4 linked regions of the Sus scrofa genome follow. The protein of the gene in region 1 interacts with the protein of each later gene in a biochemical or structural test. Links are inferred from orthologs where the notes say so. Each region holds a gene or a part of one and is shown on either strand. Other genes may lie near its edges. The genes, in order: DDX58, TRIM25, RNF125 and RNF135.

Region 1 (8,190 bases):
CTCAGCAGAAATGAATATGACTAGCATCCATCAGGACGCAGGTTCTATCCCTGGCCTTGCTCAGTGGGTTGGGGATCCAGCGTTGCCATGAGCTGTGGCTTGGATACCATGTTGCTGTGGCTATGGTGTAGGCCAGCAGCTACAGCTCCGATTTGCCCCCGAGCCTGGGAACCTCCATATCCCTCTAGTGCTGCCCTAAAAATATAAAAAATAAAAATAAAAATAAATAAAGTGTAAAATTCAATGGTTTTTAGAGTCGTAAATCTATCACAACTATCTGATTTTACTGCATTTTCATTACTGTAAAAAGAAATCTTGTATGCACTAACCCTTACTCCCCATTTTCCCTCCCCTTAGCCCAGGCAACCATTAATTTACTGAGTCTCTATGGATTTGCCTATTTTGGACATTTCATATGAATGGAATCGTATAGCATATGTTCTGTGTGACTGGGGTCTTTCACTTAGCACAGTTTTCAAGGTGCATGCATACTGTGTCATGTATCATTCAATCCTTTTTAATGCTGAATAATACTCCACCGTATGGATACACCAATTCTATCCATTCATCAGTTAAGAAGCATTTATGTTGTTTCTACAGCTTGTCTTTTATGAATAGTAATGCTATGAACATTCATGTACAAGTTTTTGAGTGGATATGTATTCATTGTTTTTGAGTATACATCTAGGACTGCTGGTTCCTATGGCAACTCCACATTTAGCACTGTAAGGAATTGCCAAACCATTGTTCAAAGGAGCTTTACCATTTTACCAGCGATTTATGAGGATTCCAATTTCTGCATATCCTTGCCAACACTTTTCATTGTCTGCCTATTTATTTATTTATTGCTTTTTAGGGCCACACCTGTAGCATATGGACGTTCCCAGGCTAGGGGTCGAATTGCAGCTACAGTTGTTGGCCTACGCCACAGCCACAGCAATGAGGGATCCGAGCTGTGTCTGAACCTACACCACAGCTCACAGCAATGCTGGATCCTTAACCCACTGAGTGAGGCCAGGGATCAAACCTGCATCCTCATGAGTACTAGTCGGGTTTGTAACCCACTGGGCCACATCAGGAACTCCCCTGTCTTTTTAATTTCCACCACCTATATTAGTTTCCTGTGTCTGCAGTAACAAATTGCCATAAACTGGGTGGCTAAAACAACAGTATTCTCTCAGTTCTGGAGGCTAGAGTCTGAAACCAAGGTTCTGGCAGGGCCACACTTCCTCTGAAAGCTCTAGAGGACCATATATAGTCCTTGCCCCTCCCAGCTCCTGGTAGCTGTTGGCATTCCTTGGCTTGTGGCTGTATCACTCCAATCTCTGCCTCTGTCTTCACATGGCCTTCTCTTTGTTTCTCTGTGTCTGCACATGGCAGTCTTGGTATGAAGACACCAGTCCCATTTGATCAGGAACACAGCCTACTCCAGTATGACCTCATCTTAACTAATTACCTCTGTAAAAATCCTTTTTCCAAATAAGGTCACATTCTGAGCCCTGGAGTTAGGACCTCAATATATCTTTTGGGGAGGAGGGAACAATTCAATCCATAACTGTAACCTATGTTGTCACCTATCCCGGCTTCCTTGGGCACACAATCCTACCCTGTTCCTTTGAGTGAGTTAATTCTATTCCTAAACCCAGTCCTTACAGCTGGGTTCTTGTTTCCAGGCATCCCTGCTACTTACCAGCTATTACTGGTTCTCCACATGGAGGTCTAGGTTGGTCCAGTCACAGCTGAGACTTTCCCAGGTAAGATGCCTCACCATACCCTGGTCCGTTTAGTTTCACTCTGCACATGGTTGGGCCAAGCCTGCTGCTACCTGGCCCCTATATCTGCTGCTACTAGGTTGTGCTACTTTCCTCAAAAGCACCGAGAGTTGAATGCTTGGGAACTGGCATTTGGGGCAGTCAGTATCTCCCACTCCTTTTGCCTTCCTGGCCACTCTGTGATGCCATCCTCAGCTTCCCAAGACAGAATTTATTGATCTCTTTCCTGCGCTTTCTTGCTGTCTTTCCATGCTTCTGATTGGAGTGCTAACACTGAATAGTGTAGAGTCCTCATCGAGCAGGGAGGGGGGAGGCATCCTCTCCCTTAGAGGGTGACTGTGAGCATGTTGTACTCATCTTTCTCTTCACATCATCAACAAAGTACCTGCCTCATGCATGTGTCTAGAATATGTTGCTGAGAGAATGGACAAGTGCTTAGAATACTGCCCACCAGTGCCCCTGCTGGATAAGAGTTAGGCTTGACTCCAAAGGGATGTTGCAAAAAATCTGTAACCCATACCCAGGTTTACCTTGAAACATCCTGGATAACTGTGAATAAGCCAAGCCCGAGAGCACCCCAGTAACCAAGCAAGCGCTCCGGGAAAAACATGGCTGCAGTGCTCCTTTCCCAAGAGGCCACTCATGCACAATATCCAACATGTGGAGAGAGGAATCACAGTAAGACAGTGGATGTTGTTAATGTACTTTAAATATATGGGGGGGCGGTGTTCACGGGAAACTTCTGTATGGGCATAAAAGTTCCCACTGCCTTCTAACGAAAGCAAAAAAATAAGTCAAAAAGCTTCTATCCAGCCATAATGCTCCTTAGTGTCTCTGAACCCTGAATCCTCACTGAATCCTGACTGATAAAGTATATTTGTCACAAGTAAAGTTAAAACAGAAATCAGAACTTCTAAGGCAGCCAAGAAAAAAGCAGGAGATAGAGAAACTTTATCAATCTAATAGAAAACAGAGAAAGATGGGGAGAAAGCAAAAAGTTTTTGTGATAAATTATAAAGAAAGAAGCAGGAAAGGTGTAAACTAAATGAAAACAGTTGCCTCTGGGGAAGGGCTCAAAATAAAAACTCTATGATATCTTTGACATTCAAAAATAAGGCAGTATAGGAGTTCCCCTTATGGCACAGCAGAAACAAATCTAAGAACCATGAGGTTACCGTTTCAATCCCTGGCCTCCCTCAGTGGGTTAAGGATCTGGTGTTGCCGTGAGCTGCGGTGTTCAGATCTGGTGTTGCTGTGACTAAGGTGTAGGCCGGCAGGCAGCTGTAGCTCCAATTAGACTTCTAACCTGGGAACTTCCATATGCACATGTGCGGCCCTAAAACAAAACAAAACAATAAAAGAGTATACAAAATGTTCTTCAGCTTACTTTTTTTAAACTTACCTTTGGTGTTTTTATTGTGATTGTATTATAACTATAAATTAAAATTACTATCTCTGAAAAACTACTCCACCTATGCACTCCCATAGCACACTATGGTTTTCCATCAAAGCACTCACCACACTTTACTGATTTGGTTACATGCATTCACACATGCTCTCTGCTCTCTCTCAGGACAGGAACCATTTCTATAGATCCCTCAGTTCCCAACAGAACACTTCCTATTAGACAATATGTCTAGTAATATGTGTAAATTCCCTCCAAAGCTAGCCTAATACCTGACACATGAGTTCTGGCTTATTGAATCAATACACAAGTGCATGGGAAAAAGGAAATTAATATGATTATTAGGTGTCACTCATTCCAAGGATTTCTAAAAGAGATACAGAGGTCTTGTCCAACTTAGAGTCTTCAAGGACCCAAGCTCCTCTGTGGTTATTATGATGTTATTTTGTTACTTCTCTCTAAGCACAACTAGAAAGCAAGGGTGGGGTGGTGTGGAGGGGTCCATTTATGTTGGTGGCATTCTTTCACCTCTCACTCCACAGCCTGTGGTTTGGTTTTACACAGCAGTTAGCTCTCAAGTTACCTGCCTGCTTTAATGCAATTTCCAAAAATTGCCTCACTGCAGGAAAGCTCTGTAGGGGAGCCAGATCCCCTCTCTCACCTCGACTTCTTCCAGGCACCACTGTCTCCCTCTATTCCCCAAGCCCCTGCTCACCTCACCACCATGCACTTCTACACAAATTGGTAAAATGGCCATTCTCCATCATCATGGGCCCCATGAACTACATTCAACCTGAATCGAAGCCTGGAGCCTTTCACTCCAGGGAGTCTTGCTCCTCTCAAGCTTCCAGTTACTTGCAAGTGCAAATAAGGTCCCGCAGAGTAAGCCTCAACATCCTTGGCCTTCTGACTGCACTCTGTAATCACCGTCTCCCACCTCCAAATTCTGAGACTGTAAAGTATATTAAGGAAGGACTTGTATCTTATTTCTGAATCTTTGATGTCAGCACAAAGCCTAACACACGGTAAATGGAACTATTAGGAGAAACCAATAAAACGGACAGTGACTTGTTTCCCCAGCTTCTAATGTAAACAGTTGTGCACCCCTAAGCAAGTCATTTCATTTCGTTGAGACTCAGTTTCTTGACCTCGTCGGGCACCTCAAACTCCGACAATCTCGTCTAAAATGCTGTGGAGATGTTGCCACAAACCCGGCCTTCCTAGCAAGCTCCCAGTATTGAGTGAAAAAACAGGTGAAAGCAAGAGGGAAATAAGACCTGAACTGGGTTTTTTTGCTCCAAGGGCCAGGAGCGGCTGGGAAGCACTCACCGTCCCTAAACCAGGGGGCCATGTAGCTCAGGATGAAGGTGGGGTCGAGAGTCTTCCTGACATAGTCCCCGAAAGCGTGCAGATTCCGCCGCTGCTCTGCTGTCATACTGCCGGCTCAGCTTCTGGCCGCGCCTCGTCTGCGCCTGGCTGCACTAAAGCCCGGCGAGCCGGGAGTCTCCTAAAAAGCACCCCGCGCCGGGAGGCGGAGTAGCTGAAGAACCGAGAATCGAAACTGCGACGAGTTGGGAAAGGGCGGAACCGGCCCAACCCCCGAGCCCTCACTTTCCCAGCGCGGTTTCATTTCTTCTCGGATGCGTGGTTCCCCAACCGGCGGGCGCTCGCGGATCTAGAGCGCCCCAAGAGGACCCCTGGGGATTGCTTTTTGAGGTTCATCTTCTCTTCGTTTTGCTTTTACAGCGGTCGAGATACAGTAAAATGCACAGATTTTAAGCGTACAGTTCTGAGTTTTGGCAAATGTATGCGGTGTAACCACTTTTCCCAAGTTGTGTGGGTCGGAAGGGCAGAGTCTAACTTTACAGGAAGACGTCACCTTCCAAAATGGCCGTCCAGGGGCTCATTCCCACCTGGCGTGGGGTCGACAGGTGATGCACCTACAGGAAATACACACGTGGGACAGTTTGGTGTTTGTTTGTTGGATTTGGCTTGGAGTTTTGCCATATCTGCACTCCAAATATCTTCTCCCAGGCTGTGACTTATTTTCTTAAAAGTGTCTTTTGAGGGGTTCTCATCGTGGCTCAGTGGCTAACGAATCTGACTAGCATCCATGGGGACGCAGGTTCGATCCCTACCCTCGCTCAGTGGGTTAAGGATCCTGCCGTTTCCCTGAGCTGTGGTGTAGGTCACAGGCGCCGCTCGGATCCCCCGTCACTGTGGACGCAGCTACAGCTCAGATTGGACCCCTAGCCTGGGAGCCTCTATATACCACGGATGTGGCCATAAAAGGCCGGAAAAAAAAAAAAAAAAGTGCCCTTTGAGCACAAAGATATTTATCAGTTTCTCTTTTAAGTTTTATTTATTGCCTTGGTAAATCTTTGCCTTCTCTAAAGCCATAGAGATATTCTGTTTTCCTTTAGAATCTTTGTGTTTTTAGCTTTTACACTTAGGTTATGATATCTCAGATTAATCTCATTGTGGTGTGAGCTAAGTAAGGGTCAAGGCTTCTTTTTTTCCCATACTTCTAATTGTTCCCCACAAACTATTTCATTTGTTGAAAACGTTTCCTTCTCCAGTTGAATAATAGCCTTGGCACCTTTGTCAAAAAAAGTCAATTGCCTGTATATGTGCAGGCCTATTCTGTTCTACTTATCTATTTGCTAATACTGCTTTATTTTTTTGGGTAAATATTATATTGACTATTGTGGGGTCTTTGCATTTTACTATGAAATAATCAACCTGCCAATTCCTACCCCCCCCAAAAAAAAGCATATTGGATGAACCTGGGGTGATTTGACATTTTTAACAATATTTGAATCCATGAACAATTTTTCATTTATTTCAATCTTCTTTAATTTTCTCAGCAATATCTTATAGTAGTTAGAGTACAAATCTTATACATATCTGTTAAATTTATTCTTAACTATTTTATGTTCTTTGATGCTAATGTAAATTGAATTGTTTGAGGGGTTTTTTGGTTTTTTTTTTTAGGGCCACACCCACAGCATGTGGAAATTTCCAGACTAGGGGTCTAATCAGAGCTACAGCTGCCAGGCCCACACCACAGCCACAGCAACATGAGATCCCAGCCACATCTCCTCACACCACGGCTCACTGCAATGCTGGATCCTTAACCCACTGAGCGAGGCCAGGGATGGAACCCGAATTCTCATAGTTCTTAGTAGGTTCCTTAACGACTGAGCCATGAAAGGAACTCCCTAAATTGAATTGTTTTTAAAGTTTCATTTTCAGTGTTTGTTGCTAGTACATAGAAATAAAAGGGGTTTTTGTTTCTTGGCCTTGTATTACACAATTCACTTGGATTATGCAATTCATTGATTTACTTAGCTCTAGTAATTGTTCTGTATATCTCTTAAATTTTTCTAGGTAAACAATCATGTCACTTGTGAATACCTGGTTTTATTCTTTTCAAATCTTCATGCCTTTTATTTTGTTTCCCTTCCTTAAGGCAACACCTATGGTCTCCAATAGAAAGTTGAATAAAAGTGATGAGTTGATACCCTTACCTTATTACTAATCTCAGCAGGGAAACATTCTTTAATTACAAAATTTGTAACAGAGAAGAATAAACCTGATTCCATATTGAATATACTCCTTTAGCTCTAAACGTGTGCTCTGTTGCTTGTGCTCAGCCATGCTGGCTCTGCACCAAGAGCTCCTCATACTCAAAAGAATGTTGCCTCGAGCCTGAAATATACGGGATAGCTCATTCTCAAGGTTCTGACCTTCCAAGGTAAAAAACTTCCACTCATATAGAGATAAAAAGTTGCTGCAGAGAATATAACAATATTTGCCTTGGAGGTTTATAATAACACTCTGACCAGACCTACATGGATAGCTGCAAGAACAAAGGATTCCCGCCCCAAGAAGTTTGCAACAACCAGCTACATCTCTTCTCCATTTAGTATAAAAGAAGCCTGAATTCTGACTCAGGCAAGATGGTTCTTTGGGACACCACCATCTGCTCCTTCTGCTGGCTTTCCAAATAAAGTTGCTATTCCTTGCCCCCAACTCATCTATTTATTGGCCTGTTGTGCTGCAAGGAATATGAGCTTGGACTTGGTAAACAAGTTTGCTGTTAGTTTTCTTACATACCCATTATGATACTGATGTTTTCTTGTATTCCTAGTTTGCTTGGAGTTTTTATCATGAGTGGGTGTTGAATATCTCAGCTTTTTTTTTTTTAATATATTGAGGTAATAATATATTAACATATTTAATTTCATTGATTCATTTTTTAATATTAAACCAACCTAGAATTCTTGGGATCTGGTCATGATGTAGCACACTTTAAAATTTTTTTTTTTTTTTTGTCCTTTTAGAGCTGCACTCACAGCATCTGGAGGTTCCCAGGCTAGGGGTCTAATTGGAGCTATAGCCGCAGGCCTACGCCACAGCCACAGCAATGTCAGATGCGAGCCGTGTCTGTGAACTACACCACAGTGCACAGCAACGCTGGATCCTTAACCCACTAAGCGAGGCCAGGGATCAAACCCAAAACCTCATGGTTCCTAGTCGGATTTGTTTCTGCTGTGCCACGACAGGAACTCCTTAAAAATATATTTCTGATTTAATAAGCTAATGTTTTGTATTTTATTCATAAGGAATATTGGTCTGTAGTTTTCTCTTCAGGGTTATGCTGGTCTCATAAAACAAGTTTGTTTAAGACTGGTATCATTCCTCCTTAAATATTTAACAGAATTCACCAATGAAACTACTTCATCTTAGAGTTCTATTTAAAGATTCTTTACAACAGTTTAACTTCGGAGTTCCTGCTGTGGCTCAGCAGATTAAGAACCCAACTAGTATCCATAAGGTTGCGAATTAGATCCCTGGCCTTGCTCAGTGGGTTAAGGATCCTGTGTTGCAGTGAGCTGCAGCATAGTCGAAGATGGGCTTGGATTTGGCCATGCGGTGGCTGTGGTGTAGGCTGGCAGCTGCAGTTGCAATTTGACCTCTAACCCAGGAACTTCCATATGCAGCACGTGT
Region 2 (8,264 bases), on another chromosome or scaffold:
GCAAACCATAAAAAAATTAGTGTGACCATATTGCTACAGGACAAAGTAGTTTTTTTTTTTTTTTTTTTTTGTCTTTTGTCTTTTGTTGTTGTTGCTATCTCTTGGGCCGCTTCCGAGGCATATGGAGGTTCCCACGCTAGGGGTTGAATCGGAGCTGTAGCCACCGGCCTACGCCAGAGCCACAGCAACGCAAGATCCGAGCCGCGTCTGCAACCTACACCACAGCTCACGGCAACGCCGGATCGTTAACCCACTGAGCAAGGGCAGGGACTGAACCCGCAACCTCATGGTTCCTAGTCGGATTCGTTAACCACTGCGCCACGATGGGAACTCCCCACAAAGTAGATTTTAAGTGAAAGATTATTGTGAGAGATAAGGGGCGACTTTTAATAAGAAATATATCAAATCTGTGATGTGTGTGTACTTGTATTAATTTCCTAGGGTTGGAGTTCCCATCGCAGCTCAGTGGTTAATGAATCCAACTAGGAACCATGACGTTGCGGGTTCGATCCCTGGCCTTGCTCAGTGGGTTAAGGATCTGGCATTGCTGTGAGCTGTGGTATGGATTGCAGACTCGCCTCGGATCCCTCGTTACTGTGGCTGGGGTGTAGGCCAGGGGCTACAGCTCCGATTTGACCCCTAGCCTGGGAACCTCCATATGCTGAGGGAGCGGCCCAAGAAATGGCAAAAAGATAAAATAAATAAATAAATAAATAAATAAATAATTTCCTAGGGTTGCTATAACAAAGCACCACAAACAAGGAGACTTAAAACAGAAATTTATTCTCTCACAGTTCTAGAGGCTAAAAGTCTGAAATCAAGGTGTCAGAGGGCCATGCTTCCTCTGGGACCTGCAGGAAAATCTTTCTTGCTTTTTCCTTGCTGCATCCAGCGCTGCAGGGAAACGGGGAATCCTGGAAGAGAAGAGGGACAGCGTGATATAAACAGAACACACAAGACTCTTACATTTAGAAAGTGGGGGACCAGGGGGCACTCCGTTCCGTAGAACAGAGGCGCCTAGGCTTTAGCCCACATGATTTTTATTAAGGAAGGTGATGAGATTATTATTATTAAGGGGATTAAGAAAGGTGACAAGATTAGTGGGCAGAGAGAGGCATTGGCAATAACGAGATTCTCATCTTAGTAATAGCAAAGGGGGTAGCCTTAGGACATAGTGGAGCTGTTTATAGAATAACATGGTTAATGCATAAGTCCTTCACCTTGTCTTTGAAGGAGACTCTGTACTTAAAACTCTGAGTCCATAGATATTTGCCTTCTGCAGAGTTCTGCTGTTCCGTGGTCTCCAACATTTCCCAGCTTATAATGATTTTCCAGTGATCTTTGGTGTCCCTTGGCTTGCAGCTACAGCTCTGCCTTCGGTGTCATCTGTGTTTGTCTCCAGATGGCATTTTCCATCTTAATTGATTACAACAGCAAAACTATTTTCAAATAGGGTCATATTTACAGATACCAGGGGTTAGGACTTGAACATATATTTTGGGAGGATACAATTCAGGGCATAATAGTGCCTAATAACAAAGCTTATAATACTTGGGGAGGGGGCACAAATACAAAGTGAGAAGGAGACAAGCTGTTATCATATCGGAGATATTAACATCCTGTCAGTCTCAACCTATTTCAAAAGACAAACATCTTAGGTCGTAGAGCTGGCTCAAATAGAATTGTGTTAGAAATCAGTAACAGTAAGATACCCAGGAAAGTGTTAAATATTTGGAAATGAAGCCATCTCCTTATAAGTAATTACAAATAAATAACAAAGGAAATTAGAAAATATTTTGAGTGGGAGTTCCCGTCGTGGCACAGTGGTTAACAAACCCGACTAGGAACCATGAGGTTGAGGGTTCGATCCCTGGCTTTGCTCAGTGGGTTAAGGATCCAGCCTTGCCGTGAGCTGTGGTGTAGGTTGCAGACGCGTCTCGGATCCCGCGTTGCTGTGGCTCTGGCGGAGGCAGAGGCTACGGCTCCGATTCGACCCCTAGCCTGGGTGGGAATCTCCACATGCCTCGGGAGCAGCCCTAGAAAAGGCAAAAAAAAAAAAAAAAAAAAAAAAAAAAATATTTTGAGTGAAATGATAATGAAAACACATATATCAAAACTTGTGGATGGAGTTCCTGGGTGGTGCAGCAGGGTAAAGATCTGGCGTTGTCAGAGCTGTGGTGCAGATTCAGTCCCTGGCGCTGTAACTTCTGCAGGCCAAGGGAGATTGACAATCTAGATTTATAGTTGTAAACATTTATATTAGAAAAGAAAAAAGTTTAACAGCAGCGATCCAATGTGCCAACTTAACGAATTTGAAAAAGAGCAAATTAAACCAAAAGTAAATAGAAGGAAATAAGAGACATGAGAAGAAATCAATGAAAAAAAGAGCAGAGAAGCCAAAAGTTGGATTTTTGGAAAAAATTAATAAAATCCATAAAATCTATTAGATGGCTTAAGAAAAGAAGGGAAACCCAGATTACTTAGATCAGGAATGAGAGAGCGGTGATTACTACAGATTCTACTGACATTACCCCCGGGTGTGACCCTGCCTGCAGAGATTGAAGGCCGATATGCCAGAGCCCAGGACCAGGGAAGAGGAAGGATGGGGTTTTTTTAAATAAGAAAAGGCAGCGAATACTTTACTGTTCCCACAGTTATTTTTGAAAGACCTGTCTTGATGAGACAGCCTTGCTCGCGGGGGCGGTGGGACAACTTGGGTCTGGACGAGTTTTCGGAAGGAACGGATCAGATCCAGGCGCGTTTGTGCTGTAGTCAGTCCCCTGACTGCTGGGATCCCGGGTTCTCCACGCAACGTGTCAGTTTTCTCATCCGCAGAGGGGCCGTAAGATCCCCCCTGGTGGTCCAGAGTCTCGTCTGAAACCCTGAGCCCAGCGCCCCGTACCCACACTCCGCGGGAGCCACCGGGATTCGAACGTCGCCAGTCGGACCTCAGCGACCCCTGGACCCCGCCCGCCCCGGGACCCCATGGGGCCCGTTCCACCTCCGCGCTCAACCCCACCCTACCCCACGTGACTTCCTGAAAGGCCGGGGGACCGCCCCTCCTGCAGCTCAGTTTCGTTTCCTTGGAGGCATCGGGGCGATAGCGCAGCAGTCGCGGCAGTTCCCGCGCGTCACGTCGGGTCCCCTCACGGAGCGCCATGGCGGAACTGTGCCCCCTGGCCGAGGAGCTGTCATGCTCCATCTGCCTGGAGCCCTTCAAGGTGCCGGTCACCACGCCGTGCGGCCACAACTTCTGCGGGTTGTGCCTGGATGAGACGTGGGCCGTCCAGGGCCCGCCGTACCTGTGCCCGCAGTGTCGCACGGGCTACGAGACGCGGCCGCAGCTGCGCAAGAACACCGTTTTGTGCGCGGTGGTGGAGCAGTTCCTGCAGGCCGAGCAAGCCCGGCCCGCGGTCCTCGACAGCGATGGCTGGACGCCGCCCGCCCGCGCCGCCGCCTCCAGCCCGGCCGGCCAAGTGGCCTGTGACCACTGCCTACAGGCGACCGCCGTCAAGACTTGTCTCGTGTGCATGGCCTCCTTCTGCCAGGAACACCTGAGGCCGCACCTCGACAGCCCCGCCTTCCGGGACCACCCGCTGCAGCCGCCAGTCCGAGACCTGATGCGCCGCAAGTGCCCCCAGCACAACCGGCTTCGAGACTTCTTCTGCCCTGAGCACAGCGAGTGCATCTGCCACGTCTGCCTGGTGGAGCACAAGACCTGCTCGCCTGCACCCCTGAGCCAGGCCAGCACCGACCTGGAGGTAGGAGTGGTGGCCCAGGGCACAGAGGGGCAGCCTGGGGCTACTGGGTTGTGCAGAGGGCACCACAGTGGGCTACCTTGGATCACCCCGGGGCGAGGGAGGGGCCTTGCTGGGCCTGAGATGGGGCAGGGGCTTGGGGGTTTCAGGGTAGAAAGGGGCTGGGAGAAGGTACAAACTTCCTCTCATTCCGGGTTCACCTCCCCTATGCCCACCCCACTCACCCATTTTACAAAGGGAACCACTGAAGACTCATGCTTGCCTTAAGCCTAGCACTTGTCTGATGATGTTTAGAAGAGGGTTTTGAAGGTCAGATATAGTGCTGGAGGTTACCTCTGTTCTCTCAATAAATCCTGATAGCACCTGGGAGGTGGGTACCATGAGTTCCATTTTACAGCTGAGGAAGTGGAGGTTCAGAGAAGGTCATTTAGCCTGAGCTAACCCAAGTGGCCAAGGGGGAATTGAGCTGCCATCTGGGCTGCCTCCACAGTTGCCTTTTCTCCCCATGGACCAGCCTCAAAACCAAGTCCGCAACATTCAGAGTGTGAGACACTTCTGGAGGTTTGTTGGGGGTCATGTGCGAAAAAGCCTTTGGTGAGCCAGAGACTTCTAGTGACCAGGGAGGATCGTGTTGAGTGGAAGGGTGGGCAGCGTCCCAGGAATTCTTGGATATGATGCACAGGGAGAGCCAGACTCTTGCGCCATAGAGCCCTCTCTCCTGCCTGGCCACTTTTCAGTCCGGGATTGGTCTTCATTCCTAAAGCGAGGAGGTGGGGCCAGGTGGATTCTTAAGAGGGCTTTTGGATCTGTGATGCTTTCAGTGGTTTTGGGATCATAATTTCTCCCTGTGGACTCAAGGCAGAGGCTGAAAAGGTGTAGGCAAAGTTTTGTTATCTAAGCTCAAAAGTGAGGCCTGATTTCCTTTCTCTCATGAGGACTTGTTAAGGGGAGCAAGAAGGGCTGTCCTTATGCTGGCAAAGGAGATATAAGCCCTGTGGCACCAGGACCTGGGTGCAGGCCTTGCTCCCAACTGGCCACAGCCCACCCCTGGCCTGGTCTGCTTCTCCAGTCTGCCCTGGGTTCCTGTGGACTTTCTCCCTGAGTCCCAGGAACCAGGCCTCAGGCAGTGCCTGGCCGGTGACTTTGGAGGTACAGTCATCTCAGGTCTGGCCCACCCAGGTCTCCACCTGCTGCAGGGAAGACCCTGGCTGGTCTTTGGAGCCTGGAGCCCTGCTCTGCCCTGCTAGCGGTGGTTCAGGGCAAGTCCCTGTCGTTCTCTGAGCCTCAGTTTCTTCATCTGTAAAATGGGATTCCTAGCATTCCCTCCCCTGTTTTGGGTCGTCTTGAGCTGTGTGGGAAGTGCTTTGTAGGCAGGCCCTACGGGTCAGGCTGCTTAACATGGGCTGTGACCAGAGCTGGATGTTGAGACCTGGGTTTGGATTCTGGCTCTGCTTCCTAGCTGGGAACTCATAAAAGGGGCCAATAGCAATACCTATCTCAGAAGGCTACCGGGAGGATTGAATGAGGCGACCCATAAGCTGCGTTTTACAGTGAATGCTTTGTAGAGCTGCCGTTATCGTTTAAGCTGCTCAGAAATGCCCGGAAGAGAGTTTGCTGTGTGGACGGTGTCAGGCTGCCTGGATCCTCTTTGCCTCAGGGTGTGTGAGCCTGAGTTCTAGGGCAACCCGGCTCCTGTGGAGTGGCCTTCTAGGAAGTTCCGGTCATGGCTTAGCAGTAACGAATCCAGCTAGTATCCATGAGGACATGGGTTCGATCCCTGGCCTTACTCAGTGGGTTAAAGATCTGGCGTTGCCATGAGCTGTGGGGTAGGTCGCAGATGTGGCTCGGATCTGGCATTGCTGTGGCTGTGGTGCAGGCCAGCAGCTACAGCTCCAATTAGACCCCCAGCCTGAGAACTTCCGTATGCTCCTGGTGTGGCCCTAAAAAAAAAAAAAGAAGAGCCCTTCTAGAAGTTTTTGTCTAGGAGGCAGAAGGCAAGTAGGGGCAGAAAGGCCCTTCTCAGCCTGGTGTGGAGCCTCAGCTTCCTCAGCCTGCAGGGTCTGGAGCTGGAGTCTGTCACTGGATTATTTGTGTGCCCTACACGCTTGGCTTTTTAATCCTTGTCACAGGCCTTCCTCTGCCACCCGCCCCCTCCCCCCACCTCCACTACCTCCCAGTGTCCTAGCTGGCTGTGACCTTTAACCCTCTCCTTTTCCAGCCCTACTGCTGGTCCGTACTGGTGGTGGAGCCAAAGCCGGCCCAGCTTGGCTCAGTCACTGGTGCGGGGTGGACTCGGGCCTCTGGGTCCCACATCGAGGCATCAAATCCCCAGTTTGTGAAGGGATCCTCAGAACTTCGAAAAATCCCCTTCCCTTGATTCGGGCATTGTCGCTGCTATCAACATCTTGGCGGCTTTCTTTTTGTCTATAGCCGTCTACCATCAGGGGACTGTTGTATACAGTTGATTAATGGTGGGCAAAATCTTTCAGAATAATAAGTTCAGGGTCTTGCTAACAGTGGGTCTTGGAGGTGAAACCGTTGGTAGCTCCCAGGTGTCCTGAGGTCTCTTCCAACTCCAAGACCAGTGAGACCAGATCTTCCTGGGCCTGACCTTTTTTTTTTAACGGCCACACCTGTGGTTTATGGAAGTTCCCAGGTATGGGTGGAAGCGGAGCTGCAGCTGCTGGCCTACGCCACAGCCATAGCCACACAGGATCCCAGCCATGTCTGCGACCTATACCACAGCTCATGGCAACACCGGATCCTTAACCCACTGAGCAAGGCCAGGGATCGAACCTGTGTCCTCTTGAATACCAGTGGGGTTCATTACCACGGCGCCACCATGGGAACTCCTGGGCCTGACCTTCTGCCTTTGGCCAATAGTTTATCTTGGCCACTGTTAGAGGCCAGGTCAAAGCACACTGTTACAGAGGTCACATCTGAAATGTCATCAGTGACTTGGGCTTTTGGGTTGAATTAGGTTGGCCTTGGTCTCTTCCAGCTGTTACATGTGACTGTCACTGGGTTGTTCAAGAGTCAAGGTCAGGTTCAGCCCTGCAGAGCTCTGGTGGAGTGGGAAAGGCCATGAAATGGAAGAGAGGGCCAGAGTATTGTTGAGCCAGCCTGTTAGGGAACATATATTTTTTTCCCTAGAAATTTCCCGTGTGCTTAGTTTGGACATGAGTCTGTAATTGTAACACCCATGAATCGCGATGTGACCTGGGGCAAGCCACTTAAATACTCTGTGCTTCAGTGATCATCTATAAAGGATGGATAACCCTTACCTCCTCGTGTTGTTTTTAGCTTTACATAGTTAATATGTGGAAAACCGAGAACAATGCCTGGCTTGGAGTAAGTACATGATAAACATTAGCTGCCATTATTGTGGTGGTGATTTTCCTACTCAGTTCTATGCCCCAACATTTTGCCTGAGAAGGGTGAAATTCAGATACTGATTATGGAAATTTATGGAAATACTAAGAGGCTTCAGATAGTATTAACTTCCATCTTGCATAATCTACCTTTGTATCTGAAGGTGGCTAGGGGCTTAGCAGCGATGCTGAATCCCCTTAATTCAGTTTCAGGGATTGAGCTGTTGGTGAGCCGGTCTTCTGCCGCTTCATCCTTATTCCTATGGTGTAGCCCTCCCTGCCTGTGGCCCTTACAAGTGAGCTTTGGACTCTGATTTGTGTCTCCCTGCCTCTCTGAGGCTGACATCGGAACGAGCAGGTGGTTCTGGGAGAACAACCCCCGAGGCCAGGCTTATCTCTGGGTTTCCTTCTCTTGGATTTTTTTTTTTTTGTCTTTTTAGGGCCGCACCCACGGCATATGGAGGTTCCCAGGCTAGGGGTCGAATCGGAGCTCTAGCCTCTGGCCTAGACCACAGCCATAGCAACGCACGATCCAAGCCACGTCTGCGACCTACACCATAGCTCACGGCAACACCAGATCCTTAACCCACTGAGTGAGGCCAGGTATTGAACCCGCAACCTCATGGTTCCTAGTCCGATGCGTTTTCACTGAGCCCCAGTGGGAACTCCTTCTTGGATCTTATCACATAATCCTTCCCTGCTTTGTTAGCTCCTCACTGGTTTTTAGTAGGACCCCCTCCCCCCATATTGTGTCTGCCTTTCTGGCTGTTTGCAGTGGGAGGGTTGGTTTGAACACCCTCCTCTGCCCCTCACTGAAGCAGCTGTCCCAGCTCATTCTGTCTCTGTGAGCTTGGGCACCTTGCTGTCTTCTTTCCTCAGTTTCATCATCTGCGGAGAAGCCCAGAATAACCCAAGCTGAGATTTACTAAGGACATTTGTCCTTGTAGATCTAGGTGCTGTGCTACGGCCTCAGATAATCCCCCTACTAGCCCTGCAGGGTGGAAACAGTTGCATCTGTTTCATGGCCAAGGACATAGGTGGGAGGCAGCTGGATAGCTGGGAGTCTAGACTGTCTGGCTCCAAATCCTATGCTTGTAACTTCTTTATTGTCCTGGCCCCCAGAAAGGATGAAGGG
Region 3 (8,142 bases), on another chromosome or scaffold:
GATTCAATGTGTATGAAGAAGAAGAAGAAGAAATCAAAGATGGCTCCCAGGTGTCTGGACTGAGCTACTTAGGCAGATTATGGTGCCATTTACTAAGACAGGAATAAACAACTGGATGTGGAACAGGTGGGAAGTTACTCTCATGAGTACAGCATTGGGCATGTTCAACTGAAGGTGCCTGAAGCAACCAGGTGATTATATCAAGTAAGAAGCTGAGCATTTGGATGTCTAGAGAAAAGATAAAGATTTTGGAATCTAGATGGTAACAGAGTCTGTGTGATTTTTGAGATTCTTAAGCAGGGAATGAGTGATCAGAAGGAAAAAGGTCCCAAGAGAGAATCCCATGATCTCCAGCACTTAGCTTTTTCATGGAACAGAGGAGGCCAGTGAAGGAGACTGAGAAAGAACAGCCAGAAAGAGTGAAGAAGAGCCAAATCATGTTTCTACAAGAGGGAGTGGTCAACACCGATGCATATAATTGAGAGGTTGAGCAAGAAAGGGACAAAAAAGAGCCTGTAGGATTTAGCCACATAAAGGTCACCCACTGGTGATGTTGGTGATCAGTTTTTGGACAGATGAAGGTAGAGTGGTCACTCCAGAACACAGGATGGACTGCATAAGGAAGGAGGGGGGTAATTAAGAAATGAAGACATAGGAGTTTCCACTCTGGCACAGTAGGTTAAGAATCCAGCTGCAGCAGCTCAGGTCACTGCAGTGGCTTAGATTCAATTCCCAGCCCAGTGCAGTGGGTTAAACCAGCCAGTGTTGCTACAAGGTAGGTCACAGCTACGGCTTGGATTCCAATCCCTGGCCCAGGGAACTTCCATATGCATTGGGTGTGGCCATAAAAAAAAAAAAAAAAAAAGAAAGAAAGAAAGAAAAGAAAGAAAAAAAGAAAACATAAAAGGAGAGAATCAGGTCAAGAAATTTGGCCTTAGGAGTTCCCATAATGGCTCAGTGGTAACGAATCCGACTAGTATCCATGAGGACTTGGGTTTGATCCCGGCCTTACTCAGTGGGTTAAGGATCCGGTATTGCCATGAGCTTCGGTGTAGGTCACAGACATAGCTCGGGATTCCGTGCGGCTGTGGTGGAGGCTGGCAGCTACAGTTCTAATTTGACCCCTAGCCAAGGACCCTCCATATGCTGTGGGTACAGCCCTAAAAAGACGAAAAAGAAATTTGGCCTTAAAGAAGACACAGAGCAAGACCTGAGGGAAATGTGGGATTAAGGGAGGGATTTTGCTTATCTTTTACAGATAGGAATTGCTATCTTTCCTTCACTCCTATCCAATTTATCAGCAAGCCATTTTAAGTCTTCTTCTTAATATACCCCAAAACCTGTCTATCTTTCTTGTGCTACCCAGGTAACTCCCTGGTTCTGGTCATTATTATCCTCCCTTGGACTAATTCAGTAGCCTCCTAACTGGTTTCTCTGCTTCCATTCTTGTTCCTGTCTTTTCCAAACCACACTGCAGTCAGAGTAAATCAAATCACAGCACCTGGAATAAAACCCAAATTCTTGGTCCTACCCTGTGTAGGATTGGGGGGTAGATTAGGCCCCGTCTCTGCTTCTTTCTGGCTTTTGTTAGTGGTGTTCTTGCCTGGCTCCATATTCCAATGCTTGGCAGGCTTCTTCCTAAATCTATGAGTGGCCGACTCCTTTTCATTATTCATAACTCTGCTAAAATGTCACTGCATCCAAAAAGCCTTCCCTGACAGTCTTATCCTTTACCCCCCTCACTCTGTTTTATCTTCTTGGCTCTTATCATCTGAAATGAACTTGTTCACTTGTTTATTTGTTGATTACTGATATCTTTTCATTAAAAGTAAAGTCTGGGAAAAACTGGGTGAAGTTTATCGGATTGTTATGTATTATGGTCTGTGTATATTGCCTACGTAGATTATGTATTACCACGGACGATTATTATTATTATTATTGTCTTTTGCGAGCTGCACCCGCAGCATATGGAGATTCCCAGGGCTAGGGGTCTAATTGGAATTGTAGCCACCCGCCTAAGCCACAGCAACGCCACATCCGAGCCGCCGCCGCTGCGATCTACACCACAGCTCACGGCAACGCCGGATTTTTAACTCTCTGAGCGAGGCCGGGGATGGAAGCCGCAACCTCATGGTTCCTAGTGGAATTCGCTTCCGCTGAGCCACGACGGGAACTCCAGATTATTTTTTACAATAAGAGTGTGAATCTATAATTACCTCCAAAAAAAATCTTTTTAAGGTCTGTTAAGACTGGGCTTTTGTTTGCTTGTTGGAAACTGTCCACTTCACCAGAAAGGAGTCTGGCATACAGCGGGCACTAAATAAGTCTTATTAAATGAGTGAATTAATAAATGATATATTTGGTCGTATTCAGGAGGATGGAGAGGGGAATACAAACAACATCAGGCGATCCTAAGGTGAGGAAACTGGGCCGGGGGCGGGAGTAGGAGGGGTCCTAGGATTTGGCACTAGCATCCCTGCCCTGGGGTTGGGATTCGAGTCCAGGTCCCAGAACTCTCTCCACTACTGCAGCTACCTCTCCTTTATGGATTGTTCATTAGGTGACTGAAGCACTGATGAGCACTTTCTTAGAAGACGCTCATAGCTCAGCTCTGTAGCCTCTTATGATCACAACAGTACAGCACTGATAGGGCCATCACCTTACAAGTGGATGTGCTCTGATTCCCTGCGCACATGACCACGCCCGCTCTTTCATTCACTTCCTACAGTGGTTCGAAGAAGGATGCGCGCACTTGGCTGGAAGGTTCACTGCCTTACCAGGTCCTCTGCTCTGCAGTTGAGGTGTCAGGTTTCAATCCTCCCAGGGGCCCGGGACGTCGCAGCGTGCAATGTGCGGCGGCCGCCTCCGCCTCCACGCCTCAACTAAGGCAGCTGGCAAAAGCTAGTCTCAGACGCGCGGCCGCGCACTCGGCGCCGCGGCGGAGGCTGCTTCTGAGCTGCACTGGCTGGGCGCGCTGGGAGGCGGCGATCGCAGCTGGGCCGGGACTTCCTTCCTCCACCGCTGGACAACAAAACAAGCAGGCAGCAGGCACCAAGCTCTTGGCCGCTGGCTGGGCGGGAGGCGCAGCAATGGGGTCGGTGCTGAGCAGCGACAACGGAAAATCCGCGCCCGCCTCGGCCACCCCACGGGCCCTGGAGCGCAGGGGGGACCCCGCGCTGCCCGTCACGTCCTTCGACTGCTCCGTATGCCTCGAAGTGTTGCACCATCCCGTCCGGACCCGCTGTGGCCACGTGTAAGTGCCAGGGAATCTGGGTTGGCACGCCCATCCCTTGGGGAGAGCGATGTTAGGGAAGCGGTGGGATGGGAGGGAGGAAGGGTGGTTCCAGAATACAAAGCTTGAAGGAAACTGCTGCAGGAAGAGACCTGGACCCGTCGGATGCGGTTCATGGGATAAGGCAGAAGGTGACACAGGGTTTCAGGAGGAGAAAACAGCAACAGGCAGCCCCCTAGAGCCGGCTCCTCCTGAAGTCCAGGTGCGGAGACCCCGAGATGGGGAATCCGGGCGCGCGAGCCGCGGGGAGCCAGGGCTCGCCTGCCGCGGAGGATGAGCTTGCTGGAGAAGCAGCACCCTCCTGGGCCCAAGGCGGAGGACTCCCTCAGAGCAGTTATCGCGCTCAACTCAGTTAATCCGAGGTTCTTCCTTCTCCGCCCAGAACCCAGGTTGGTTTTGTTTTGCGGGCTCTGTGCACGTGTTCCAGAACGCCCGCTGAGGTCTCATGAGAAAAAAAGGGGGGGGGGGCCTCTGTCCTTCCTTCCCCACCTCCCTTTTCCCAACTCAGACACCCAAATCCCTCAAAAATCATCAAACTGGACCGTCCAAGTGACTTTCTGTAGTGGTTAGAGCTTAACAGCCCTCCAGGGTGGGGTCTGGGGCTTGAACCTTACCCCTCAAACCGGGGAATGGAGCCGTTTAAAACCCAAGTAACCAAGTGGCGGAGGTTGCAACAGACTACCTGCCTTGCGCACCGCCTCCCACATCGGTAGGAAGTAGAGATAAAAATAACTGTCTTAAAAACCACATGCATACTCTTTAACTAAAATTCGCTGTTAGTGCACAACCGTGGTAGTTTCTAGGAAGAGTTTAAAAACAAAATCCCTGTGTAAAATTGGCACGTCCTTAATGTGTTAATGTGTGCCTGAATAAATACTAGTGGGAGTTGGGTCTGTGAATTTGTGTGTGCCTGAATGTGTGAGGGTGACTTGTGGGGGGAGGGATTGCGTAGAGCAAAAGTGAAAACTTACCCAATGTCTTCTTTGGCCCGCGGACTAGTTTGGTGACGCTCCAAGGCAGTATCCTAATGCTAATAAGCACTTTTTGGCTTACCAGGAAAAAAAGAAGTATCATATTATAAATGCAAGTGCACAAAATATCTTTAAGGGATCTAGGTGGTCCTTGACACCTATAGCCTAAGCAACTGAGAAGCAGTTTTTAACACTGAAAAGCCCAGAAGAAAGCCAGAGAGAAAAAAATCTGCAGCCCACACAATGTTTAAAGAAAGAGTACCCTGAGCATTATTTTGTGGCTGTATTTTCAGGGCCTGTTGTTTCAGCTTTGTACTTTAAACTCAAGACTAATTTACCTCCTGTCTGATTACTGATGTTGCCCAGCTGTCCAGATGTAGCTCATTGACATAATTCCCCAAGGCCAAGACAGGAAGCCAAGATGTCATTGTGTAGGGTATGAAATACATTGATTAGCTCAGGTCAGAAAGAACCTCAGGATAACTACATTTAAATTTAGTCTAGATTAGTGTTAAAACTTTTAAGTTGTACCAGAGACAATTGGGTAGCTTTGCAACTGGAGATTGTTATCTGATTGTTTTCCCTGGTTTGGATTTTGAATGCTTATAACTTGTTTGCATTGTTTTGCTTCTGCTAAAGGGTAATATAAATTTGCAAAATGTTAAATCTTTTGTTTGGTCTTTTTCTTTGTTAGAATGAATAGGAAACTAGCAACTGGAAAAATAGTCATGAAGTAGCAAGCACAACAAGGGCTGGATAAATTGCCTTCCCTCACTTTACTGTTCTTTGTTTTGACAAATCTATGTCCATTGTTCTGGCCGTAGGCAGGATTTCCATATTCCTCCTTTTGGCAAACTTACTTGGGCCCCTTCCACTTTACAAATGTTAACTAGAGTCCCTTCTGCACTGGAGATAGTGGGCTCTCTTTAACACCATTTGTCCTTCCTAAATGAATTACTTTCTTCCACTGAACTTAATTGGAAAATGAGGAAATGCAAATGAACCTCTGTGTTATCTCATATATAAGCTAATTATAAACCTATTCAAGTCAAGCAAGTGTAATGGCCACGGTACCTTGAATGAATATGTATATATGGATTGCGATGTAGTAAATCAGCGGGCGTGATAGAGAGCAAAGTCTGAAAATCAACCCCACCACTAACTAGCTGTGTAACCACCACATTGCTTGGTCTTTTTGAATCTCAGTTTCTTTATTTGTAAAATAAGGTGGGTAATGGAATTTTTATGAATACTTAAAACGCCTATAGTAAGACTCAAAACATAGTCTCTGTCTCCATCAAAGTCTTTTCCTAAAACAAGGAAACCCATGAATCGATATTATTTCTTATCTTTTTGTTCTTTTGGGAATAAAACTGGGCCAAAACCAGAGATCTCTGACATTTCCAAGATGTCCCTCATAGCCTTACTTTTAGCTTGGTTCTTTTTTCCTTTAGTGGACTTGAGGAAGTTCCATTTTAATGTTCCATCATTTCAAACTGACGTTATTCTCATCGCATATCAGTTGTAAAACTAGATTTGGGGGGCAGCAGTCTTATCAGTGAGCTGGGGAAAGAGGGGGTAGATGAGTTGAAACTGTCTAAATAAAACTTAAAGGAAATCTGATTTACATTTGAAAGAAATGTTTAAAGAAATTCGGTGTCCAATTGGTAGATGCAGAGGTAGAAAAAAGTCAAAGACTGAGCCAAAGGGGGCAGAGTTTAGCTCAGGATTCCTAAATCATTAATGAACTCAACAATTAAGCGTATTGAATGTACAGAAGTCTGATAGGGAGACATCTAAATGGAAGTACCCCCAAGGCACTGGGAAAGTGGGATGGGGAAGGAGGTCAGGACTAGAACTAAGGGAGTTTCTGAAAAGGGTCAAGAGGTTGAGAATGGGCCTAAGAGAGCTCCGTACAAACTGGAGCAAACCATTCTGTACAGAGAACCACATCTCCATTGAACTGAGTTGGGTCGAGTTGCTCGAAGTCACAGAATTTGCCTAATATTTTAAATGAAACGAGGATAATTCTGAAATGCTTTTGGGTAAATGGATTAAAATGTTCCATTTGTGGCCAAGTATGAGGACCAAATTAGTAGTTCTCTAAGTAGAGTCTGAAGGTTTCCTGATGCTTTTAAACTGATCCAGTAATACACATCAGTGCTTTCATTCTTTTTTTTTTTTTTTTTTTTTTTTGTCTTTTTGCCTTTTCTAGGCCCCCTCCCATGGCATATGGAGATTCCCAGGCTAGGGGTCCAATCAGAACTGTAGCCACTGGCCTACGCCAGAGCCACCGCAACTCGGGATCCGAGCTGTGTCTGCAACCTACACACCACAGCTCACGACAAGGCTGGATCCTTAACCCACTGAGTAAGGCCAGGGATCAAACTCGCAACCTCATGGTTCCTAGTCCAATTCGTTAACCACTGTGCCATGACAGGAACTCCTACAGCATTATATTTGTTTCATGTGTGTAACATATGGTAAATATTTTGGTAAATCTTGCAAAATGATCACCAACAGTCTAGTTAACATTGGTCAGAATACATGGTTACAAAATTTTTCTTTCTCTCTCCTTTTTTTTTTTTTTTTTGGCCATTTCTGCAGTATGCAGAAGTTCCTGGGCCAGGGATCGAACCCCTGGCCACAGCTGTCACCAGAACCACATCAGTGACAATGCCAGATCCTTAACCCACTGAGCCACAAGAGAATTATGCAAAATTTTTGTTTCTTGTGATCATAACTTTTAAGATCTACTCTCTTCAGTGTCTTCCAAATAAGCAATACAGTATTATTAACTGTAGTCACCGTGCTGTATATTACATCCCATGACTTATTTATTTTATAACTTAAAGTTTGTGCCTTTGGACCCCTTTCACTCATTTTATTTCCAGCACCCACAGAGCTGTCATTCTTATGGATGTGCAATCCCAAAGACTTCTTTTTAAACCTAAGATTAAAGCTTCTTATCCTATTATTTATTATAGATATTTATTACTTATACATATTCTATCAGTGAGAGTTATCCAGAGAAATAACCCATATGTAGGTTATACATATTTATGGAGAGAGAGAGAGAAAGAAAAAGAGAGATTGATTTTAAGGAGTTGATTTACATTATTGAGGATAGCCTCTCTAAAATCAACTGATTATAGATGTTAACAACAGCTACAAAAATACCTTCACAGAAACACTTAAATGTTGGATTAAACAACGGAGAACTATAGGCCAGCTAAGTTGATACATAAGACTAACCATCACAGCTTTTCAATGAGTTTTTAAGGGTTGTTAAAATCTGGTGATCAAAAACAAAAATTAGATCATTATCAGGGGTTAGTAGAAGACTCCTCTGAATTCTCCCAAAAAAATTTGGCTATCAGGCAACCATGCACATGCCTACACATTGCTCAAGCACATGATAGGAATCCTGGTAGGAATCCACAGTTTCCTTTAAATTAAAATCACTATTCATTTAGCTTCATCATTACCATTTTGGTTTGCTGTGGGTTGTTTGGTTAGATCTACTATTGCATGGGGTGCATTCATTTTTGATCAGGTGTAGATGCAGGTGGTTGAATTGAAGTAGTGGGAGTTTGTAGTTTCCCATCTGATTACAAATTATCATTGATGTAATATCTGACATGTGATTTGATTTTTTTGTTGAAGTATATAGTTGCTGTACAATATTATATAATTTACAGGTATACAACATAGTGGTTCACAATTTTTTAAAGGTTATACTCCATTTATAGGTCTTATAGGAGTTCCTGTTGTGGCTCAGTGTTTAAAGAATCCGACTAGCATCCGTGAGGACAAGGGTTCGATCCCTGGCCCCACTTAGTTGGTTAAGGATCCAGCATTGCCATGAGCTTGTAGGTC
Region 4 (7,523 bases), on another chromosome or scaffold:
GTCCCTTTGTTTCTGGCTTTGGCTTCTTTCACGTGCGGTTATGTTTTCAAGATTCATTTACGTCGTAGCATAGATCTGAACTTCGTTCCTTTTTGTGGCTGAAGAATAATTCCCTTGTATAATTATACCACATTTTAAAAAATCCACTCTGCATCAGTGGACATTCGGATTGTTTTTACCTTCAGGTTATTGTTGGTGATGTGGCAGTGAACATTGGTGCACAAGTATCCCAGTTCCTATTTTCAGTTCTTTTGGGTAGGAATGGAATTGCTAGGTCGTATGGTAATTCTATGTTTAACTTATTGGCGAACAGCCAAACTGCATCCCAGGCAACAACAGCAATTGGCATTCCCATTATCAAAGTGGGAGGATTCCAATTTTCCCTAACTTTTGCTCCTGGGACTAAGGTCTGCTTGCTCCTGGCCTGTTTGCTTCTAGGGCTTAGGTCTGTTGTCTGTTTCAGTCAAGTCTTTTGTCCCAGACACCTCCAAGTTTAGCTCAGCTTGCAGCACTTGAGGAATGCCCGCCCCCTTTCTGTCCCAGCTCCAAGTTAAGTAAAACAAAGGTGAGCACCCTGTGTCCTTGCTTCAGGTAGTCCCCAGCCAGGTTAGGACAAACCTACACAATGATGTGTGAATAAAATAAAAGTAGACTCTCCCGCTCTGAGAACCAGGACTGGGATTTCACTGAGAACTTTCATTGAACTAGGGACAGAGCACGGCAAAGGCGTGTCAAAACACTGCAAAGCGTTCCTCCTACCAGATTGCTCTTTGTTGGTTAAGTGTTTTCCAGAGTTCCAACAGAGTTGGTTCTGACAGTTTCTGCTTGTTTTGCAGTGTGTGTGTGTGTGTGTGTGTGTGTGTGTGTAGGGGGGTGGAGGAGTGGGGATTAGTGGGGAGTCAGGGTAAAAGAGCTTAGAGCTGCCCACTCCTCTTTTTCAAAAATTAATAGATGTTATTTTATTTATTTATTTGTCTTTTTTTTTTTTTTGCTATCTCTTGGGCCGCTCCCACGGCATATGGAGGTTCCCAGACTAGGGGTCGAATTGGAGCTGTAGCCACCAGCCTACGCCAGAGCCACAGTAATGCCAGATCTGAGCCGAGTCTTTGACCTACACCACAGCTCATGGCAACGCCAGATCCTTAACCCCCTGAGCAAGGCCAGGGATCGAACCCACAACCTCGTGGTTCCTAGTCAGATTCGTTTCTGCTGTGCCATGACGGGAACACCTAGACTTTATTTTTTAAAGCAGTTCTAGGGATTTCCTGTTGTGTCGCAGTGGGAACAAATCTGACTAGTATCCAAGAAGATGCATGTTCAATCCCTGGTCTTGCTCAGTGGGTTAAGGATCCAGCATTGGCATGAGCTGTAGTGTTGGTTGTAGATGTGGTTCAGATCCCTGAAAGTTGCTGTGGCTGTGGAGCAGGCTGGCAGCTGTAGCTCCCGTTTGACTCCTAGCCTGGGAACTTCCATATGCCATGGCCTTAAAAAGCAAAAAAAAAAAAAAAAAAAAAAAAAAGAGGCAGTTCTAGATTTTCAGAAAATTGAGCAGAAAGTCCCCTCATACTCCTGACATTTTCCCTTATTATTAATATTTTGCATTAGTTTGGTACATTCATTGAACAGGCCTATGGGGTTTGACTCAGTGCATGGAGTCATATATCTACAATTATAGTATCACACAGTTGTACTGCCTTGAAAATCCCCTATGCTCTGTGTATCCTCCACCCCAACCCCTGGCGTTCACTGATTTTTTATGATATCTCTTTAGTTTTGCCTTTTCCGGACTGTCATCATTGGAATCATAAAGGATCTAGTTTTTGCAGGTTGGCTTCTTTCACTAATCACAATTAAGGTTTGGGGCTTGATCGCTCATTTCTTTTTATTGCTGTAAAATATTCCATTGCATAGATTTACCATAGCTTATTCATTCACCTTTTGATAGACACGTTGGTTGCTTCTGTTTTATTTATTTTTTAGTTATGAATAAAACTGTTCTTTTCTTTTTGATTATAAATATAGTATTGTCCCTCAGGTCCTTAAAATTCTTACTAATGTAGTTTATAATGATTGAATATACTTTCAATTGGCTTTTAAGTTAAAATGATTGTCTATGGATGGTAGGACATTGGATGATTTAAAACATTTCTTCTGAAGTTCCCATTGTGGCACAGCAGAAATGAATCCAACTGGGAGCCATGAGGTTGTGGGTTCAATCCCTGGCCTTGCTCAGTGGGTTAAGGATCTGGCATTGCTGTGAGCTGTGGGGTAGGCTGGCAGCTGTAGCTCTGATTGGACACCTAGCCTGGGAACCTCCATATGCCACGGGTGCGGCCCTAAAAAGCAAAACAAACAGACAAACAAAATTTATTCTTTCACATTCTCTGCATTTTCTAAATTCACCTCAATGAGTGTGCCCTTTCTTTTACGGATAGAGAAAGCAACACACTTTTTTTTTTTTTTAAATTTTAATTTGCTCGTGTACCTAGATAAGGGCTCCACTCCTGAGTTCCAACTGCCTGAATATTTAGGAGACGTGGACATTTAACAGCAAACCTCATTACTGGTAGTTAGCCACCTCCCTCTATAAAATAGTATGCATGTGGCTTCCAAAACACATGCCATTTTGAGGGACATTGGTGCTTCTTAGAGATGAAAAAGGTTCTGGTTCCAGTTTTCCAGGTTCCAGCATAATTTAAAAAATGTCCTCCCAAAGTTATCAAAACTCCGGTTTATTTAGAGTTGGGTGGCTCTACATCAGACCCCCTTTGGAGGTAATACAAATTCTTGGGCCCTGCCTGCCTCTGATGACTGTCACCAGGTCCTGAGCTTGTTGCCAGACTATGTTGGCCACGAAACGTCCTCCCACTCCCCCCAGGCAGCTGAGCAGATTAAGCTCTTGAATGGGTGTCGCTGAGCGTTCCCATCTGAACGTCTCTTTAAATGTGAAGGATGGCAATAAACAAACACGAAGAGCTTGCAGCTGTACTTCACTTTAAAGGCTCCAAGATCCTTCCCCATAGATCCTTCTCACTGTCGAAGAGAAGGAGGGATGGTGGCGTTCAGTTCTGAAAGGCACGATGAAGACACGGGATGAGTCAGAGGTGAGGGCGGAGCTTAAACTTTAACCAGATGCTGAAACCCACTCACCTGATGACCTGCCACACGTGCTGCCGAGTCGCTGGGCTCTCGCAGTGGTTCCTCTCTGTCTCCTCCTGTTCAAAAGGACCCCTAGGCTTCCCCTCATGCCTCACTCCCACCCCACTCCCCATTTTTGTTACTTCTTTGTCTGCTTCCTTTATCCAGTGTTGTAGCTCCCTCCATCTATAGTTGGTTCCTGAGTCCAGCTTTGTGTTCTGCTTTGTTCTATGTTTAAGGATTTTTATTTTTTCCATTAGATTTGGTTTACAGTGTTCTGTCAATTTCTCCTGTACTGCAAAGTGACCCAGTCACACATATGTATACATTCTTTTTTCTTACATCATCTTCCATCATGCTTCATCATAAGGGACTAGATATAGTTCCCTGGGCTATACAGCAGGATCTCATTGCTTATCCACACCAAAGGCAATAGTTTGCATCTATTCTGCTTTGCTCTTTTAAAGGTGGCGGCGCAGAAGAGCATCACAGAAGTTGGCCGGGAGCTGGCAGAGCTGGTGGACCAGCTTGTAGATACTGTCAGGAGCCTTCAGAGCCAGAGCTGCCTCCCAGAATCCGAACCAGACAAGGACCTGAGGACCCTGGCTTCGGTAGGCTCATCTGGGAGAAGAAAGAATGGCCCAGGGGGCGGGGCCAAGGACAGCCCGCTGGCATGGCTAGGGAGCAACAGAAATGTTTGCAGGTGAAGGATGCAGTGAGTCCCAAACGTTTGCCATGCTCTTCATGGGAACGTGGATGGTTGGGGATGTGGAATGCTTGAGGAGAGCTAGGGGAATGCCAGGAGGGCCAAGTCCCATCCTTATCTTGCCACCTTAACCAGCTCTAAGGTCTCCAGTGACCTCCATGCAAATCCCCCGGACATTCCAGCTCTTATCCTCATTGGCCTTTCAATAGACTGTGACATAGTCCACCACAGCTGCTTTCTTTAAAAAAATTTTTGTTTATGTTTTTGCGTAATTGTAAAAGGTTATACTCCATCTATAGTTATTACAAAATACTGGCTATACTCTTCATGTTGTACAAGGATGGGGAACAGCCTTTCTCACTCTCGGTGGCTTGTACCTTCCACTCCCCTCTCCCCACTGGTAACCACTAGTTCGTTCTCTATATCTGTGAGCCTGCTTCTTTTCGCAACTCCATTCTTTTCTTTATCCCCACAATTTTTTTTTTTTAGGGCCACACTCGCGGCAGATGGAAGTTCCCAGGCTAGGGGTCAAATCGGAGCTGCAGCTGCTGGCCTGCGTCACAGCCACGGCAATGCCAGATCCACGTCTGCAACCTACACCACGGCTCATGGCCACGCCAGACCCTTAACCCACTGAGCGAGGCCAGGGATTAGACCTGCAACCTCCTGGTTCCTAGTCAGATTGTTTCCACTGCACCACAACGGGCGCTCTGGGAATGCTTTTCTTTTACGCTCTTACGTAGGTAATGCCTGCTCCATATTTGGACCTCAGCTAAATTATCAATTCTTAGGAGATGCCTTCACTGATTCCTTGAACAAGTCAAATCCCCCATTAGAGGCTCTTATGTATGTGATTCCATGGACCTTTCATCTGTCACAGTTGTGACTTGATAATGAATGATTGGTGTCATAATTTATTTTATTCTTATTTTTATTTTTTGGTCTTTTTGTCTTTTAGGGCCGCACTGGTGGCATATGGAGGTTCCCAGGCTAGGGGCTGAATTGGAGCTGTAGCCGCCAGCCTACACCACAGCCACAGCAACGCCAGATCTGAGCTGCATCTTGGACCTACACCACAGTTCATGGCAACACCAGATCCTCAACCCACTGTGCGAGGCCAGCGTTTGAACCCATGTCCTCCTGGATGCTAGTCGGGTTCGTTAACCACTGAGCCATGATGGGAACTCTGGTGTCATAATTTATTAATGTCTTTCATCCTTCCTCCCTTGCATGGGACTTTAAGCTTTATGAGGGTAGAGACCTTGATGGCACTTATTTTTTCGTTCGCCCTTGTTTTCCCAAGCCCAGCACAGTGCTTGGCACATAGTAAGTGCTCAGCAAATACCCACGATATTTGAATGAGTGAATAAACGGGTCCTTAGGGATACAAGGTGTTGTGGTAGAGGTCTGAGAGTCTGACTGTCAGTTGTGACTTTGCAGCTCACTCGTGGTATGACCTTGGGCAAGTCATTTCATCTTTTTGAGTCTCAGGTTTCTTTCTTCCTCCTCCCCTCCCCTCCTTCCTCCCCTCCTTCCTCCCCTCCCTCCTCCCTCCTTTCTTTCTTTCCTTCCTTCCTTCTTTCTCACAGCATACACAAGTCCCCAGGCCAGGGACTGAACCTGTGTCACAGCAGCAACCCAAACCACAGCAGTGACAATACTGGATCCTTAGCCTGCTGAGCCACCAGGGAACTCCCAAGTCTCAGGTTTCTACCTATAAAACAAAAACAATGATCCATGGCCAGCACCTCATTAGTTTGATGCAGAGATTTTTAAAAATCTTGTTTAAAAAAGTACTTGAGCAACATGGGAATGAGGGATGATCAAATTCACTTTGGCAATTTAGTTAACTTCCATGAACTTCTTTTGTAAAGTGGAGACAGTGAACCTATCTTGGAAGGCTGTTAGGCAAATTAGAGGGGAGCAGTGGAAAATACTCAAGAGACGATGCCTATGCTTGTTATGATTGGTGAAAAGAATGGGAAACGGGGAGCTCCTGTCATGGCCCAGTAGAAACGAATCTGACTAGGAACCAAGAGGTGGCAGGTTCAATCCTTGGCCTTCCCTCAGTGGGTTGCTATGAGCTGTGATGTAGGTCGCAGACACGGCTCAGATCTGGTATTACTGTGGCTGTGGTGTAGGCCAGCGGCTACAGCTCTGATTCGACCCCTAGCCTGGGAATCTCCTTATGCCTCAGGGAAATGGATTTTGCAAAGTTGAGAAAGAAAGTCTCATGCGCAAGGCGGGAAGGTGGTGAGCAGGTGAGGGGCTGTGCTGGGGAATCATAGAACCTGAAGTTAAAGAAAAAGCAGGGAGGAGTTCCCACTGGGGCTCAGCCGGTTAAGAACCTAACATGATGTCGGTGAGGATGTGGGTTCGATCTCCAGCTTCACTCAGTGGATTAAGTACCCAGTGTTGCTGCAAGCTGTGGTGTAAGTCACAGGTGTGGCTCAGATCCAGTGCAGCTGCGGCTGTGGCCTGGGAACTTCCATAAGCTACAGGTGTGGCCATTAAAAAAAAAAGAAAGAAAGAAAGAAAGAAACTCAGGGAGTGCATCGTGTTGGAGGCCCCAGAGATCGGGGCCTGGTTGCAGGCAACATGTCTGTGTTGGCCCTTGGGAAGAGTTATCATATAATGACAGCAGCAGTCCAGGGAAGATTATTTTGGCCTCTGAGGCTTATCTTAGTGGCCATCTGTACTACTTATTTTGTAAAGCCCCTGTAAGACAGGTCTAGGACTTCCTTTGGGCTCAGTAGGTTGAAGATCTGGTATTGTCACTGCAGCTTGGGTCGCTGCTATGGCATGGGTTTGATTCCAGGCCATGGGTGCTACCAAACAAACAAACAAACAAAAGGATGAAAAAGTCGCACCTAAAAAGTTTAAACTTTTTTGGGATATGAATGGAGAAATTCATATCTGTTGTAGAAGATACTAGAAAATACATAGCAGTTTAAGAAAACAAATAAAAATTGTCTATAGCCCACCACCCAGAAATAGCCATTCTTTAATATCTTGGCTCCAGTATGTATTTTTCCAGGTTGTTTTTCAAGGCACGTATTTTGAGAACCTAATTAGATTTGGAAAAACCCAAACTTACTTAGGAAGTAAGTAGAAACTTAGAGATAGATGGCAGAACTGGAATATATTTGAAGCATTCCTTGGGAGGTTGTTTTCCACAGCCACAGCAACACGGAATCCGAGCCGTGTCCGTGACCTACACCACACTCACGGCAACACCGGATCCTTAACCCACTGAGCGAGGCCAGGGATCGAACCCTCGTCCTCATGGATGCTAGTCGGGATCACTAACCTCTGAGCCATGATGGAAACTCCAGTTTTGTCTTGTTTTTCATGACTCATCAATAGGCCTTGTCCGATGGCGTAGACCTTTCCTTGGCGTCTCCAAAACTGGTGACTTCCAACACACCTGAGGCAAAAATGAGAGACATTCTCCATGACCTTAAAAAGATCCAGGGAAAGTTACAAGAAAATTTCACCTGGAAAGGGGCCCTCGAAGAACAAAAGCAGGGTGAGTTGCTTTTATTTTGTGGAGAAGGCTTAACTGTGGAAGCTGAGCAAGTGTTCCAGGGCTTTATTATTTGGGGACAGGAACCCAGAGGCCAGCTGCGTCGTCCCTGTGGTGTGAGTGAGGATGGAGTGGCTGAGGTATTTTTGTGGC

What was found.
Region 2: of the proteins of DDX58 (region 1) and TRIM25, one has a biochemical effect on the other in vitro, tested with the Homo sapiens proteins (5 studies listed by BioGRID, with this or other methods). The link is inferred for Sus scrofa from reciprocal best matches to the Homo sapiens genes RIGI and TRIM25.
Region 3: of the proteins of DDX58 (region 1) and RNF125, one has a biochemical effect on the other in vitro, tested with the Homo sapiens proteins (3 studies listed by BioGRID and IntAct, with this or other methods). The link is inferred for Sus scrofa from reciprocal best matches to the Homo sapiens genes RIGI and RNF125.
Region 4: of the proteins of DDX58 (region 1) and RNF135, one has a biochemical effect on the other in vitro, tested with the Homo sapiens proteins (6 studies listed by BioGRID, with this or other methods). The link is inferred for Sus scrofa from reciprocal best matches to the Homo sapiens genes RIGI and RNF135.

Annotation. Positions count from the first base shown.
Region 1 is NC_010452.4:33,888,233-33,896,422, reverse strand, and holds the start of DDX58 (probable ATP-dependent RNA helicase DDX58), read right to left. Parts: upstream 4,694-8,190; 5' UTR 4,613-4,693; coding exon 4,507-4,612; intron 1-4,506.
Region 2 is NC_010454.4:33,207,234-33,215,497, reverse strand, and holds the start of TRIM25 (E3 ubiquitin/ISG15 ligase TRIM25), read left to right. Parts: upstream 1-3,057; 5' UTR 3,058-3,158; coding exon 3,159-3,761; intron 3,762-8,264.
Region 3 is NC_010448.4:115,854,972-115,863,113, forward strand, and holds the start of RNF125 (E3 ubiquitin-protein ligase RNF125), read left to right. Parts: upstream 1-2,725; 5' UTR 2,726-3,089; coding exon 3,090-3,253; intron 3,254-3,322; exon of another isoform or gene 3,323-3,565; coding exon of another isoform or gene 3,566-3,681; intron 3,682-8,142. UniProt on the Homo sapiens protein: E3 ubiquitin-protein ligase that mediates ubiquitination and subsequent proteasomal degradation of target proteins, such as RIGI, MAVS/IPS1, IFIH1/MDA5, JAK1 and p53/TP53.
Region 4 is NC_010454.4:42,800,457-42,807,979, reverse strand, and holds part of RNF135 (E3 ubiquitin-protein ligase RNF135), read left to right. Parts: intron 1-3,605; coding exon 3,606-3,749; intron 3,750-7,210; coding exon 7,211-7,373; intron 7,374-7,523.